2 linked regions of the Oreochromis niloticus genome follow. The protein of the gene in region 2 purifies or fractionates together with the protein of the main gene of each other region. This does not show direct contact. Links are inferred from orthologs where the notes say so. Each region holds a gene or a part of one and is shown on either strand. Other genes may lie near its edges.

Region 1 (8,053 bases), about 39 Mb from region 2:
TGCATTGTACAATTTAACACATATTGATATTATACGAAATTATAACAGACTATATTTGGGATATGGAGATGCAGCAAAATGATGTGGACTGAATAAGAAGGGATTGATTTTTATACATGATGGTAAATAAGTCAATCTGGGTAGCTAGCTAGCATGGTTAAGACTGACTGCTTCATACTTTTGCATTCTCACAGCTCTTTCAGGTAACTGCACATGATGGTGGGAAACAGATATGTTGGCTGTTTCCCAATTCAGGCTCTGCAGCCTTAAAGGCTGCATTTTAAGGCCGATTACGTCACAGCGATGCGACGAAGGCTGTCCCAATTCAAAGGCTGCTCGAAATGCGGCCCTCAAATGCGTCCTTCATTTTCCTGAATTTTAAGGATGGGTCCGTGTATCCTCCACGGCCCAACATATCCCAGACTTCATAGCGCGGCGGTGGGTGTGGATAATTTTGCCGAGAAAAAAAAACGACGGAAGAGGGGCGGCCGAAGAGTAAACTTTTAAAAGTAAATAGTGAATATTATGTCACTTATTTATGTGCACTTTATAACATATACGCCGTTCAATGGTTGACCTTAATCTTACAGAGAATGTGATGATTTTATGGATAATTAAAGTCAGTCATATATCCACAAACACAACAAGCTGAAAGTCAGTGATGCTGCTCGGTTTGCAGTCCTGAATATCACGGCACAAGCAGGATTCACTGCACTGTTAATGTTAGCTATGTTATATTGCTGCCTCTGTTCGGTGGTGTCGAGCCAAACGGACTTTAACGTGTGTTTGAACGAGCTGACGGTTCACTCGTTAAGCTGAAAGAAAGATGCTTTAATCACAGGAGTCACACGTGTCCACTGGACCATCTGGGAACTCTTCTTGTTTAGCACTCGTAATAACACAAACACTTAATTTCTCCTTCTCTTGTGCTGTTTTGTAGCAGTGTGTACACCTGAGACTGTCACCTGCCTGTCTGTCCTGCACTCTCTCTCTTTTTCTTTCTCTCTGATTTTGCAATAAAAGTATGAACATGTATTTATAAGTTACACTTGTGTTTGAATCCTGCAGCTTATCACACATTTGATTTCCATGTGTGACAACTGCAAGTGTCCAGAGAGAGGACAGACTGAGGGACCCACTGCTGCACATCATCTGTGAGGCTTTGCACCCCTGATGATCCACCAGGACAAACTCAGCAGTGTGTGAGGAAGAGGAGGAGGAAGAGCCAGCAGCAGCTGACAGATGGAGAGAATAGACAGACTGTTCCCTGTTTGTGAAGGACTGCTAGAAAAGTTTAAAATAACTAATTGTCTGTCCTGAATCAGTCTTAGTAGGTAATGTTCAAATAATTTTATCATTCCAGTGTTTTCAGTGTGGGAGAAAGTACTCAGGGCCTTCAAGTTAAACACGATGAAAGGCAGAAACAAGTTTAATATTCAGAAACCTAAAGTATGTATCAGCAGCAGAATGGAGCTAAAAATAAATGTTTGTTTCAGTTCTATGAAGCTTTGAGTATTTTGGATTAGTAGTACTGCTGTGTTTGTTGCATCATATTGCTGTCATTGTTTATATGCTTTATATATTCTGAGGTAAGTTGATCTATAGTGTTACATGATATTCTATAAGGATGTTATGTGTTTGTATACTTTTTGCCCAGTTTGACCCATTTAGCAGAAGTCAGCCTGTTTAAGGCTCTAAGTCAGGGGTCCCCAATCTCAGTCCACGAGGGCCGGTGTCCCTGCAGGTTTTAGATGTGTCCTTGATCCATCACAGCTGATTTAAATGGATAAATTACCTCCTCAACATGTCTTGAAGTTCTCCAGAGGCCTGGTAATGAGCTAATCATGTGATTCAGGTGTGTTGACCCAGGGTGAGATCTAAAACCTGCAGGGACACTGGCCCTCGTGGACTGAGATTGGGGACCCCTGCTCTAAGTCATACAGAATAGATATCAAAGCAGTTATGACATGGTCTGATTTTCTCACCCAATAAAGGAATATTTTATATATCAGTCTACTCTTCATTTTATCAGAAACAGTTATCACAGCTCGTACATTTTCTTTTTATACATATATGTAAGCACTGAGCCAAATTTAGTAATGCCAACATACTGAAAGAACAATATTTGTCTCTTATATATAATACATCTATATATAACCTGTCAAAGATGCTTGTCTTTGAGTGAAGATTTAAGGTGATAGGAAATATAAATAACTGCAACTCGAATCTTTACTGAAGCTCAGTATTTGACACAGTTCAAACTCACTGCTGTAATAACTAATAATGATTAATATAATAACTATAATATTGGCCATATTATATTTACATTACCAAAGTGAGATGACTTTAGTCTCATGAACAACATAAGCTAATTGTTATTTACTAGCTAATCTTAAAATGACTGTTCAGTACAGATATGAGTGCCAACAATCATGTTTTACAATCCTGTGGTCTCAGCCTCAGATACATATCAAATCACACAAAGCTCATGTAGAAACAAATGAACAAAATATGTTCTCCTTCATTTCTGTCAAACAATGCTGTATGAAACTTTTCCAGCGGATAGTATCATGGTCGTTAAGGCTGCGTACTTTAAGGCTGCAGACCCTGAATTGGGATACAGCCATAGACACACCTAGTGGTGTGGAACAAAAAAAACTAAAAAAAAATGGTGGTCTTCAAGGCATTTGTAGCTATGAGAGGTGATAGCAAAAGTCACAACACACTGCGAAGTGTGCCCCCACCTGTCCAACATCACTACATCTCATGTAAAATTACACAGACAAGCATCAGGGCAAAACAGGCCCAGTCCTGGCACTCTATCAATGGAGGGAAAAAACAAACATGGAATAATTTGTTTTTAACAGTTGTAGAGTTTTATGACACAGGAGTAAGCTACGAAATTTCCAACGATGCAAACAATATTTATGACTGGATTCAGTTATTGTTGGTTTCAGTCTTTATGCAGCTTTTCCTGACAATAACAGAAACACACAATCTCTCTACCTTTAATCAATAACTACTCCTAACTTATCTGATTTCTTACCTCTTTGTATTCTCCATTGCGGTTTGTTTTGAAGCCCTCCGGGGTGTGCATCTGGATGGTGGTACTGCTGATCACCTCAATGCAGCATTCCTCATCCTCAGCACCCAGGGGTCGCACACGGCAGTATACCTGAAGAACAAAATGACACACATTAAAACAAGCTCTAACCATACATTTTGAGCTTGTTACTACTGCAAAGATATTTAATTTGTCCAAGAATATCTGATAAACGATTTAAAAAAAACAACAAAAAAAAAAAAACAACACCAAACAGACTTTGACATTCTTGGATGCAGTAGGATTATTGCTACCATTTGTTTCAGCTTATTGCCACTTGGTGAAACTTCTAAAGATACTTTTCTTAAGAAACTGAGCAGTCTTGTTATTCACAGACAGGGTCTTTAAACTGTTGCTTTTATTTTTTTTAAGAAAAAAAAAAAAGGGGGAATTTTGGTTGGCCCAAAAAACTGAGGCGAGATAGCAATCGAAACTTTTATTACTTCTTCTTTCTGTTACTCACTTTAGGGATCACCACAGCAGATCATCTACCTCCATCTCACCCTGTCATCACCCAGCATCAACTATGTCACACCTCACATCTTCTGCATGTCTTCATTCATTTCATCCATGGATCTTCTCCTTGCCTCCAAACAGCTCAACCTGAGCTGTCAGTCTGATGTACTCATTTCTATTCTTGGCCATTCTGGTCACTCTCAATGAAAATCTTAACATCTATAACTCTGCCAAGTGCCAACTCCAGCACTGCCTCCCATATTTTTTGTCAGTGCCAATGTCTCCAAACCATACATTATAGCAGTAAAACCTGCTATCTTCAAGTTTAAAACCTCAGTTAGATGGCAGTCAGGTGGCACGCCTCTCAATAAAACTCTTCCAGATCAAAAAGTCTAAATCTGTTGCCTTTGAGGAAGAAAACTGATGGCTGTAGAGCGAAACTGTGGGCTCACAGTCAGGTTGACGAGAAAGTGTCCAGAAGAATTTTCACTCTGTCAGTAAATTACTCCACTCTAGGTTCAAACACTCCCTCACTGGAATGTTTTCTCTTCCACCCACTGGAATGTATGAGATTCACATTTGTACTGTTTGCCGAGTTGACCTTTAAGAATTCAGGGACACTCACCCCAACTGGGTCCGTCTGGTTGCTGGAGGGTTTTTTTGGAGGAGGCCTGCGGGGGGTTTTACCCTTCCTGTAAAAGTAAATAAATACAAAGTCATTCACAATTCAAACAGAAGCGTAAGCGTTAGCCATTAATGACTATGTGATGGCTTAACAAAGCCACTTGCTAGACGGCTAATTAGCCCCCTGCTAACGGTAAAGCAGAGAGTCAACGTCCGCTCGTAACTCCTTAAACTTAAGTTCGCCATTTTGTGATAGTGTAAAACGCATAAACAATACAGCCTACCAGCGACATATAGAACATAAACATGTACTTACAGATGTCTCGTCATCGTAGCGTGGTGCCCGTGCTGGTTTCACCGTTTCTGTTTATCTAGTTTTGAATCTTCCCTCCGCCTCAAAGCCTCAAATCAGCGACTTTTTCAAAACGGACCCGAAGCAACCAATGGGATCTGGCAACGGCAAGCACGTGTTTCCGCCTTTACTTCCGAGCCTCTTACGCCTCAAAAAAAAAAAAAAAAAAAAAAAAGTTGGCAAATGCAGTAAAATATAATATACAAACTTGTTTCAGCCACTTTCATTCTTCATCTTCATAAATAGTCCTTGATGTCTGCTACCAGAGAAATGTAAATCCTTTCTTTGTTTTACACAATTCTTAAATACTTTATGAAAATTATTTAGTTTAATAATTTAACATGACATTGACATAACGTGACATTTTTTATTTATTTATCGCAATCTTCTGTGAGCATTTCGTTGCCGTTACCTTACTTTGCAGTTTGAGTTGTTTGAACTCCAAACATGGTGCACATTGAGTTTTCATGGTGGATCTACAGTGCCACCCACCGTTCACCAGCTTTAACAGACACAAGTTACAAAACAGACATTTTTCAGCACATAGTCACGTGTACTGTCGTGTTATGCAAACAGAGACGTTCTTGCTGTTAAACTGCAGCGTTAAAGCACTGAACATCGCAGGTAAGCAGCAATATGAACATTAGAGGTGCAGACAGGTGCACAATCGTCCGCTTTGTGACGAGTAACTGTTGCTTTGTGTGTGTGTTTACAAGGAAGAAATGAAAAGCAAGCCCACGAAGTCAGCCGCAGCTGGATCAAAGAATAAAGTGAAGAAAACACCTGAGGGGGTCTCCAGTCCAACTCTCTCCAGAAAACTACGAGACAAAAAAAATGGCGAAACGTCAAAATCAGGTATGAGGCTCTGAAAACACCGTCAGTCCAGTGACAGCACTGTCTTTGTGACACTTGAATGGGTTCGTGTGTCTTCTAGGGACTGCTCTCAAGTCTGCAGGAGTTCAGAAGAGAGGTTGGGACGGAAGCATACTGCACTATATCTACAAAAGCACTCTGGGCCAGAGTTTGCACTCACAGATGAGACAGGTAAGAGAGCCTAATGTGGTGCTGGCCCCAGTGCTGCCCAAAATACTCACACACTGTTCCAATAGTAATTAAAAAAAAAAAAAAAAAAAAAATCTAATCCAGGGACATGTGTAAGTTCACAAGTCATAGTCCATCTGTTACCTCTCGTTTCCTCTTACTGGATTTATTCAGTGCAGGTGTGAATCTAGCTCTTTTGTCTCCTCAGTGTCTCCAGGAACCTTTCGTTCGCTCTCTGTCATCCTATCATTTCCACGGTGGCAGCAGCCCCTTCGACCGCAGGATCACCTGTCTTGAGTGGCATCCGACACATCCTACTACTCTGGCTGTGGGGTCCAAGGGTGGAGACATTTATCTGTGGGACTTTGAGGCGCCTGCCAAGAAGACCTTTATTCAAGGGGTGAGTTCCTGTTTAATGGTTTTGATTTGTTCTTTCGATTGATCAAAAAGACATTCGGCAAACTGATTTTAACAGAGGTCAGATGCTTCTTCAGGCTGTGGTGAATTTCAGAGCGGTGCGATGTAGTTGTACTTAATGAAACACTGTTGTTGGCTCTCTGGTTAGATGGGGGCTGGAGACTCAGTGACAGACATGAAGTTTAACCACTTAAATCCCACTCAGCTGTTCACCTCATCTATGGGGGGTACGACAGCACTTCGGGATTTCAGTGGGACAACGCTAACAGTGTTTGCCAGCACAGAAACACTGAAGTAAGACTGGAGTGTCCACTTTTTTTTCTTCTGTGCACTAAAATAAAAAAGCGTTAGGGGTTAGTCTAGCATCAGTCTTCTTACAGAGAGTTCAGAGATCTCTCAAGGGAACTTGTTGGGTGCTGGTGTGAACATCTGTGTGGTAGTTGTAGTCATAACTGCTGCCTGGTGAAAGGCCTACATTTGTATTTGTGTGTGTAGAACGGAGCAGGAGACTTTATCGGAGGGATGAAGTTTTGCCCCACGGACCTTTCTAGAGTCTATGTGGCCTCTGGCGAGGGCACACTGACCGCACAGAGTTTTGAGGGCCGCGCACCCACCGTTTTGTCCAGAACTCAAGACTGCGGCCACGATCACCACAATGTTTGGTGAGAAACTCCCAAAGAAGACTGATGCTCGGCATTATGAAAAATGGAAAGTTTTTTCATTTCCCTCTACTGTGTCTGTAGGACTCCTGCTGCCACATTGTTTTAATAGCATTAAAAAGGTTTCGTATTTCTATTCCTATTTTATGAAATAAAATTTGTCAGGGCTATAATACAAAAAATGAATGCTATTTGAAATCTAGTAGGACACTGGAGGGCGCATCCTCGACCAAGGCCCATAACAGGCCATCTAATAGAAGGTGATCCAGATCTTCACCAGTATTTCAGTGTGTTCTTCCTTTGCCCATGTTCCCGTCTTAGAGCGCACACCTCCACCTTTCTTCTTCCCTTTAAAAGACTAGGACCAAAGAGAAGAGACACCATGCTCCAAATTTAACTACTGTCACGATTGTGGAAAAATGGTTCTACATTACTTCAGTAGAGACTGCTTCTACAATCTGTAGATTCAGGTGAAGAGTAACTGGGTCATGTCCTGCAAAAACCATTCTCTTTAATTCATTAAAAAAAATAAATGAAGTTTAATTCATCTCCATAGTTTCCAGTGTCAGACTCAATCCCTTTGTAGGCAGATTTCAAAAAGCATGACTATCTGCATGGGTAGACATCAGTAGAGGTAAATGAGAAAACACAGGTAGCTGAGAGCATTGTGCGTATATAATGTTATCTCTTGTTCAAGTGTCACATAGTATATTACATCCTATTTTGAATTAAAGCTATGATTTATGGAATACATTATTTTGTATGTTCTTATATGTAGCTCTTTTCTTTCATAGTTTTTGGTACTGCTGCGTTGACGTGTCTGTAAGCCGGCAGATGCTCGTGACAGGAGACAATGCGGGGCAGCTTTTACTTCTGGGTTTGGATGGCCAAAAGGTGTGTGCCTCTTTCTTAATGAGGACTTCCACTGTTTTTTTTATAAATTAAAGGATCAGTTATAGTTCTTATTTAACACAGAGCACTTTTTCTTTCGGCCCTTCCCTTTAGGGGTCGCCCAAGCCAATCATCTGCTTCCATACCACTCCTATTGTGCAAGTCTTCCTTTGCTACATCCAAAACCTCCTCTGTGGCAATTTAATGTTAATTGATTTGCTCTGTTTTAATGTTTCAGATTTTCAGTGACAAATTGCACAAAGCCAAAGTGACCCACGCAGAGTTCAACTCCCGATGCGACTGGTTGCTGGTGACGGCCTCAGTTGACCACACAGTAAAGCTCTGGGACTTGAGGAACATCAAGGACAAGAAAAGCTTCCTCTACGAAATGCCTCACGAGAAAGCCGTCAACTCAGGTAGCACTTCCTCATAGAAAAACCTCTCATGCTTACTACTTTAAAAAAAAAGAAAAAAAAAAAGAAACAATCAGTTTTCTAATTGTCTTTAATT
Region 2 (7,088 bases):
GAAAACCGCAAATCAGTAGTATGCCTTTATATGTTTTCCATTAGTTCTCATTACATTATTTCTGAAAATGTAACACCTGCTTATACCTGCAGAGGCCAATATGGTGCAGTTCAGAGCATGCTTCAGTGCCTCCAGGCGTTCACTTTCATGAACAATTGACTTATAAGACAGCTCGTTGTATCTTTGTGCAGCTTCAATAAACTTCCTTCTGAAGTCTAGTACTCTGGCATAGCACACCTAATGAGAGCAGCATAAGCACTTATCCACACAGCTTCACTAAAACAACAGATAAGACTATGTAACTATGAAATCACTAAGCGATCATGTACCTTATAGTGTATCTGTAGCTGTTCATTAGAGGACTCATTCTGAAGCAATGAGGCTCTGTTGATGTAGGCCTCTGCCTGAACCGGATCATCATCTTCTAAGTAAAGTCGGGCAATTTTCAGATATGTATCCAACTTATAGTCAACATTATATTGCCTGAAGGAGATATTTTAAAAAACAAACAAAAGAAACAGGGATTTAAAGAAACAATTACCATCAAGACTTGCGTGTGACAATAGTTTACTTACTTCTGTCCTGTTTCGAGGGGAATGCCAACTAAAACTTGGGCAGCATTTCTCCAGTCTCCCTCCTTTTCATAAATGGTCGCTAAGTGCTGTCTGATTGAGGCTACCTGAGGAGATGGAGGAACATTACTCAGTTAAGCACTACAGTGACAATACTCAAGCTTAACTACCTGAATGGTTACCTCCGTTTGCACTGCGTCAGAGAGCTGGAGCAAACTTACCTGTTCCTCGAAGGAAATGACCCTCGGCTGGATCTTTTCCAAGGTGAAGTGATACACTGCTTTTGCTGTGGCGTCAGGCAGGTTGGGCAGATGTGTGCAGAAATCAGTGAGCAGCTGTCTTGAAATGACGAGACTGACATTTTCATTGACCACTGCAAGAATGTAAAATATAATAGTAAGACATACTCCTGAAAAATGAACCAAGGACGAAGAATAAGCAGATATTACAGAAGAATACAGGCACACCATACTTGCTTCTACAAAGGCCTTCAAGGATTCCAGTTGATCAGCATCTGTAAACTGAATGGCCTTTTCCAGAATTTGTCGATATCTGCAAAAGATTTCACCGGTCAGAAACCTTCCAACTTTGCTGGTAAGTTTAAAATGTTTACATAGAAAATCGAAGGATTAAAACTTAAATATGAAACACAAATACATTTTAGCTTATTGGATGAAACCCAGTGTTTTCCCCACAGATTAACTTTACTTGGGCAAGGTATGGGCATGGCTGCCCAAGTGCATCTGTCAAATCTTTATCTTTATACATGTGATGCTACAATGAGCTCACTAAGGCTACAGAGCAGAACAAGGCCTGCTGACACCCAAATAATCTCCAGGATGATGTAACTGAAAGTCATTTGCAGTATAAGAGACTCACTGATGAAGCAGCCAATAATATTCATATTCATCAATATTGTTAAAGCACATCTAAGACCCTCCCTCACCAGAAACAGATTGTAAATCTGTGGGAGAAACTGCATAATCCCATGTATACTGTATTCCCTTATGATATAACATATATATTATTATGAATTTAAAAAATAATTTAAAAAACCCTCTGACTGCTTGGTTGTAAAACTGCACCGTCATTTGTCAACTGCACCATCTAACAGACGTTGTGTCACAACCCTATAATAGTCTACAATTAATATTTAATATTGTCGAACACTATGACAGAACATCACAGACACTATGATGACACTGTGACACAACTAAAATGTTGTAAATAAATAGCAAAATGTACAAACTGAGAAGTATGGACTTATTTTGTGAGAGGAAATTTTGAATTTATTATTTTGAAATGAGTACCAAAAAAAGTACCAAAATCGAAGGAAAAGTACCCAATCCATTCGGTAAATATCATTTCATAAATAAATCTGTAATCAACATGTCACTAAAGTGCTCTGAACATAACAGAACTATGCACATAAACACCAGTTCACATATAATTACAGCAATGAGTCTGTGGTCCCTTACTTAAGAGAAGTCGATGCATTTGATTGTGACTTCTGTGAAAAACAAGTGTATTTAAGCTTGAGTGAATTAAACCCCCCTTTAATAAACAGCTATTTAAATATTTCCATTTTAATTAACCATTAGCATATACTGTGGATAAAAATACAGTAAACACTTTCTTCTTATACAAACACGTATACAACAGGACCTAAAAGATACCTTTTAAATAGATTTATCACCTTTTGGACAATACTGACGAAAACTGAAATTGCAAAAGTAGACTTTACAGCACAGTTGTACTTGGATTGCATAGGTGTTCCTAATAAAGATGTTGTTTATAGGATGGTAAGAACGTACGCAAAGGGTGTCCTGGCAGTTTTCTAGTCAAGTATCACTTTGTTCAAACTGTATTTAAGCTATATTTAAGCTATTTTAAATTTGTTTATGTCTTATGCTTTTATGATTGTGTAAACTCCTTGCTTTTATGTTGCTTTTTACTCTACTGTGTACAGTGACCTTGAGTGTTTTGAAAGGCGCTTTCAAATAAAATGTATTATCATTATTATTATTATTATTACCTTGTGCTCTGCACCAAATGTGCAGCTAAAGAGCAGCAAGTTAGCTAGTTAGCTTGGATGATAAAATATACAGTTCTCATAATTATTTTACCAACAATTAATGTGGGTAGTCACTCCTTTTATGTTCCTTGCACTTTGGATAAAACCTAAAAGCAAACATTGACAGACTGATTGCGTTTCTATCTGGTTTATCTGGATGTATGGCTAATGCAGCTAACGTTAGCTTAGCTTTGTGCAGACCAGTATCTAGCTGCTAGCTAGCAGTTTCTGTTGCAGTTTTTAACGAGTGATGTTCTCCCTAACTAACGTTACATACTTGGCAGCAAGATCTTTATGAGATCCACTTGAGTTCATCAGTTGTGTAAGCTCCTGCCTCACTTCGGTCGCCATTGTAGCCTGTGTCGAAGTGTCAACACCGGTTTCCTCTGCCAAGACAGGGGAGAGCCTTCCGTCTGCAGTCAGAGCGCAGAGCTCAGCCAGGAAGTGACGCAGCCAGCCATGGGAGCGGAAGAGGGAAAAGAATGATTATAATTATTTTAGGCCAGGCTTAAATGTTGATCTATTGTATTACTTTTTTATTGTCTGAATTTTAAGTGATAATATATGTTTTTAAACAAAACTTGGTGAGTATTATAAACTATCCATCCCTTTCCTGAAAATAATCATAGCTATATTTGGTTACATTTTTTCTGGTAATTTTGTGTTTTAACCTAAAAAAGGGTCAATCTATTTTTAACACTAGTATCATCTGAAATATGAGGGGCTTTCTTGTGTTTGCGCAATAAAATATCCTGTCTCACAGACATGCTGAACAACTACATTCTGTATTTAATGCCTCTAGGCTGGGCTGTTGTAAAGCATTATTATCAGGTTGTTCTAAAAGCTCCCTGAAAAGCCTTCAATTGATCCAGAATGCTACAGTAACAGTACTGACGGGGACTAGCAAGGCTTTTTCTCGTTCACTGGCTCCCTGTTAAATCCAGAATCCCATTTAAATTCTACACCTCACATACAAGGTCTTGAATAATCAGGCCCTGTCTTATCTTAAAGATCTCATAATACCATATCACCCTAACAAAGCATTTCACACTCGAGTTACTGGCTTACTTGTGTTTCCTAGAGCATTTATAAGTAAAATGGAAGGCAGAGCCTTCAGCTTTCAGGCCCCTCTTCTGAGAAACCAGCTACCAGATTGCATTCAGGAGACAGACACCCTCTCTACTTTTATGAATAACTTTTCTTCTTCACTTACTTCTTACTTTCTGTGTGTTTATACAGCACTTTACATATAATCATTAGTTACAGCTAATCTCTAGTAGACTTCCACAGCGTGTCTTTTGCCTTGTCTTTCTCTCTGCTCTCTTCTCTTCCCCACACTCCAAACCAGTTGCAGTGGATGGCTGCCCCTGTACCCTCTGGCACATTCTTCCTGGTAAAAAAGAGTTTTTCCTTTCCACTGTTTCCAAGTGTTTGTTCTTGGGGATTCATTTGACTGTATGGGTTTTCTTTTTATTACTTTTTAAATGCTATGTAAATAAAATTGAATTGAGCTGACATTTTTGTCAAACCAGTCAAAAGTTTGTTTGTTTGTTTGTTTGTTTGTTTAAGTAAAATACAACTAAAATATATAGCCTAACTAAATAATGTTGGATAATAGTAATAGTAATAAAATACATATGACACCAGAGGTCAAGTTATATACAAGTGGTATCAGTTAAAAACTAAATATCTATAATCAACATCAGTCAAAAAGTATATAAGTATTACGCAAAATACATAAAGACATGCCTGATGTATCGACTTTTGTACAAGAAAAAGTCAGCACCATAAGAGCTCATTGACTATCAACTGGACCTCATGTCACTTATGATGAATCTCCAAAAGTTGAATCTGTTCATCTGGACGTAGTGTTTTGTGGGAGAAACGTTTCGTCACTCATCCAAGTGACTTCTTCAGTCTCAGCTGACTGCAGGTTTCCCCAAACCTTATAAACAGTACATTTGCATAATGACTGAAACCAGCCCACTGAAGGAACAATGGGCTGTGAGGTCAGTACCTTAATCATATCACGTACTACATTTCACAGATCACATTAACTCGGTGGACCGGCACATCAAATTCACCAGGGAGGATATGAAAAGTGGCAGGTTAGCCTTCTTAGACTGTGAGATTTCCATCAGTAATGGGGGACATCTAAAGGCTGACGTGTACTGTAAACCTACACATACGGATCAGTATCTAAGGTCTGACTCTCATCATCCACTGGAGCACAAACTGGGTGTCATCAGGACGCTACAAGACAGAGCGAACACCATCCCCACAGACACAGCGGCCAGGGAGGCAGAAGAACAGCACATCAAGAAGGCCCTGAGTAAATGTGGTTATCCCAGCTGGACTTTTGTCAAAGCGGGAAAGGCACCTAAAGAAAGCTCCAGCTGATCCAGGAGAGAAGGACAACTGCTGCCCAAGCGAAAACCTGTAGTGATCCCATATGTGTCAGGAGTATCGGAACAGTTGAGACGCATTTTTTCTAAACACCGGGTCTCTGTGGCTTTTAAACCCCAAAACACGCTGCGCCAAAAACTGGTCCACCCCAAGGATCAGGTCCCCCGACACAAACAGAGTAACATACTGTACGCTGTTAAGTGCCAGGAGGATTGTCAGGATTTATACATCGGGGAAACCAAACAACCTCTAGCGAAGCGGATGGCACAACACAGAAGAGCAACCTCATCAGGCCAGGACTCTGCAGTCTATTTACACCTACAGGCCAGTGGACACTCTTTCAATGATGAGGATGTACACATCCTGGACAGGGAGGAATGCTGGTTTGAGCGCGGAGTCAAGGAGGCCATTTACGTGAAGAGGGAAAGACCATCTCTGAATCGAGGAGGGGGCCTGAGGGTACATCTTTCGCCATCTTACAACGCTGTGATTGCAGCCATTCCCCAACTCAAAGTGAATGGTACTCATGGCCATTGATCAGTGTTCTTTGATCAGTGGGTTTTGGTCAGTGATTGTTGATCAATGGTCATGGGAATTTGCATAATTATGATTAAGGAACTGACCTCACAGCCCATTGTTCCTTCAGTGGGCTGGTTTCAGTCATTATGCAAATGTACTGTTTATTAGGTTTGGGGAAACCTGCAGTCAGCTGAGACTGAAGAAGTTACTTGGATGAGTGACGAAACGTTTCTCCCACAAAACGCTACGTCCAGATGATCAGATTCAACTTTTCGAGATTTACTTTCCTGGATGATTGAGAATGCATCAAGACTTATGATGAATGTACTGAAGAGACTACGCTGGCCTGCCTAAGACCTCAGGCGAAAACATCTCTTGACACTCTGTAGTATGCAAGCAGGTCGAATCTGGGAGTGAATCATGGCGTAATCTCCATGCTGAAGACAGTTTACTCCCATCTAGGCAGTAACAACTGCAGGGTGAAGTTTATCTTCTCTGATTTTCTGAAGTGCATTTCATGTGTTTTGCCACTGTTACTGTAAGAGAAACTACGGGACATGTAAGTAAACATGTCCACCACCTTATTATTTACTGACTACCTGACAGTGGTACGTGAGACTGGGCACTTAGTGAGGCTGCTGGGTAGTGCTCTGTCAGATTTTGGTAATGTCCAGCACACGAGCTCCAAGGCTGACTGTGTTGTTTGTTTTTTATAAACTAATAAAAGTTTTTATTTTCCCAAAAAAAACTATAAAAAAGAAGAAGAAGAAGAAGAAGCATTAAATAGTTTTGTAGAAACAGTCCTAACGTTGATAAAGCAATTGTGCTGTAGCTTTAAGTGTTACGTCAGTGTTTCGTATCGCGTGGAGGGCGTGGCCGGCCTGTGAAATGTCAGGGAGGAATGGCGCTCGGCGCGGTATTTTGAACAATCGTCTTTTCCTTTCCTCCCTTTATCTGGAAACGCTGCTTAGCTTAAAAATTTGGGGTAAGCATGACTATGCGTTGGCCCTTTCTAGGATTTAACACACTATATTCAACATAAAGACTCACACTAAAGAATGTATTCAATGTTGAGATATAATGTTGTGCTAGCTAGCTCGGGTTAGCAAGCTCAGCAAGTTTGCTAGTACAGTTGTCCTGCCCGCTGGGCTGTCTAGATGAGACTGCTGTTGCTGTCTTTGCTGCTGATGGTGATAATGATAACAATAACGATAACGATGTTTAAAGATAGACTCCGGTGAAAAAGCAGTATAATATTCCCAGGACTTGGTTCGGCAGAGTATTTTCAGCGCTTAAGGAAAGTTTCTCGTGCACAAAACAGGGACTTGGTGTAAATATCATGTGAGCCGGCCGCTAAGTTTACTTACTGCAACGGCAAATGAAAAGTAAAAGCTAAGTTAGCTGCACATCGAGTTTCATTTGACATACTGGCGAAACGTCTAAAGGATCATAGATATTTTTATATGTATGTAAAATATTAGAAGGCACAAGTCAGCAGTTCCATTTGCTGTTAGTTG

The links. The genes of interacting proteins can lie anywhere in the genome.
Region 1: the proteins of cops4 (region 2) and ddb2 purify together in Homo sapiens (affinity purification with mass spectrometry; 7 studies listed by BioGRID and IntAct, counting the BioPlex papers as one, with this or other methods). This does not show direct contact. The link is inferred for Oreochromis niloticus from reciprocal best matches to the Homo sapiens genes COPS4 and DDB2.

Annotation. Positions count from the first base shown.
Region 1 is NC_031972.2:51,231,754-51,239,806, reverse strand, and holds the start of ddb2 (DNA damage-binding protein 2), read left to right. Parts: upstream 1-4,999; 5' UTR 5,000-5,002; coding exon 5,003-5,159; intron 5,160-5,251; exon of another isoform or gene 5,252-5,255; coding exon 5,256-5,390; intron 5,391-5,469; coding exon 5,470-5,579; intron 5,580-5,784; coding exon 5,785-5,976; intron 5,977-6,141; coding exon of another isoform or gene 6,142-6,287; intron 6,288-6,488; coding exon 6,489-6,655; intron 6,656-7,446; coding exon 7,447-7,546; intron 7,547-7,781; coding exon 7,782-7,959; intron 7,960-8,053. Other genes in the region: kinesin-like protein KIF23, read right to left, coding at 3,047-3,175, 4,185-4,251, 4,500-4,513.
Region 2 is NC_031972.2:11,872,706-11,879,793, reverse strand, and holds the start of cops4 (COP9 signalosome complex subunit 4), read right to left. Parts: upstream 3,101-7,088; 5' UTR 2,998-3,100; coding exon 2,924-2,997; intron 1,125-2,923; coding exon 1,045-1,124; intron 946-1,044; coding exon 794-945; intron 680-793; coding exon 576-679; intron 484-575; coding exon 330-483; intron 238-329; coding exon 87-237; intron 1-86. UniProt on the Homo sapiens protein: Component of the COP9 signalosome complex (CSN), a complex involved in various cellular and developmental processes.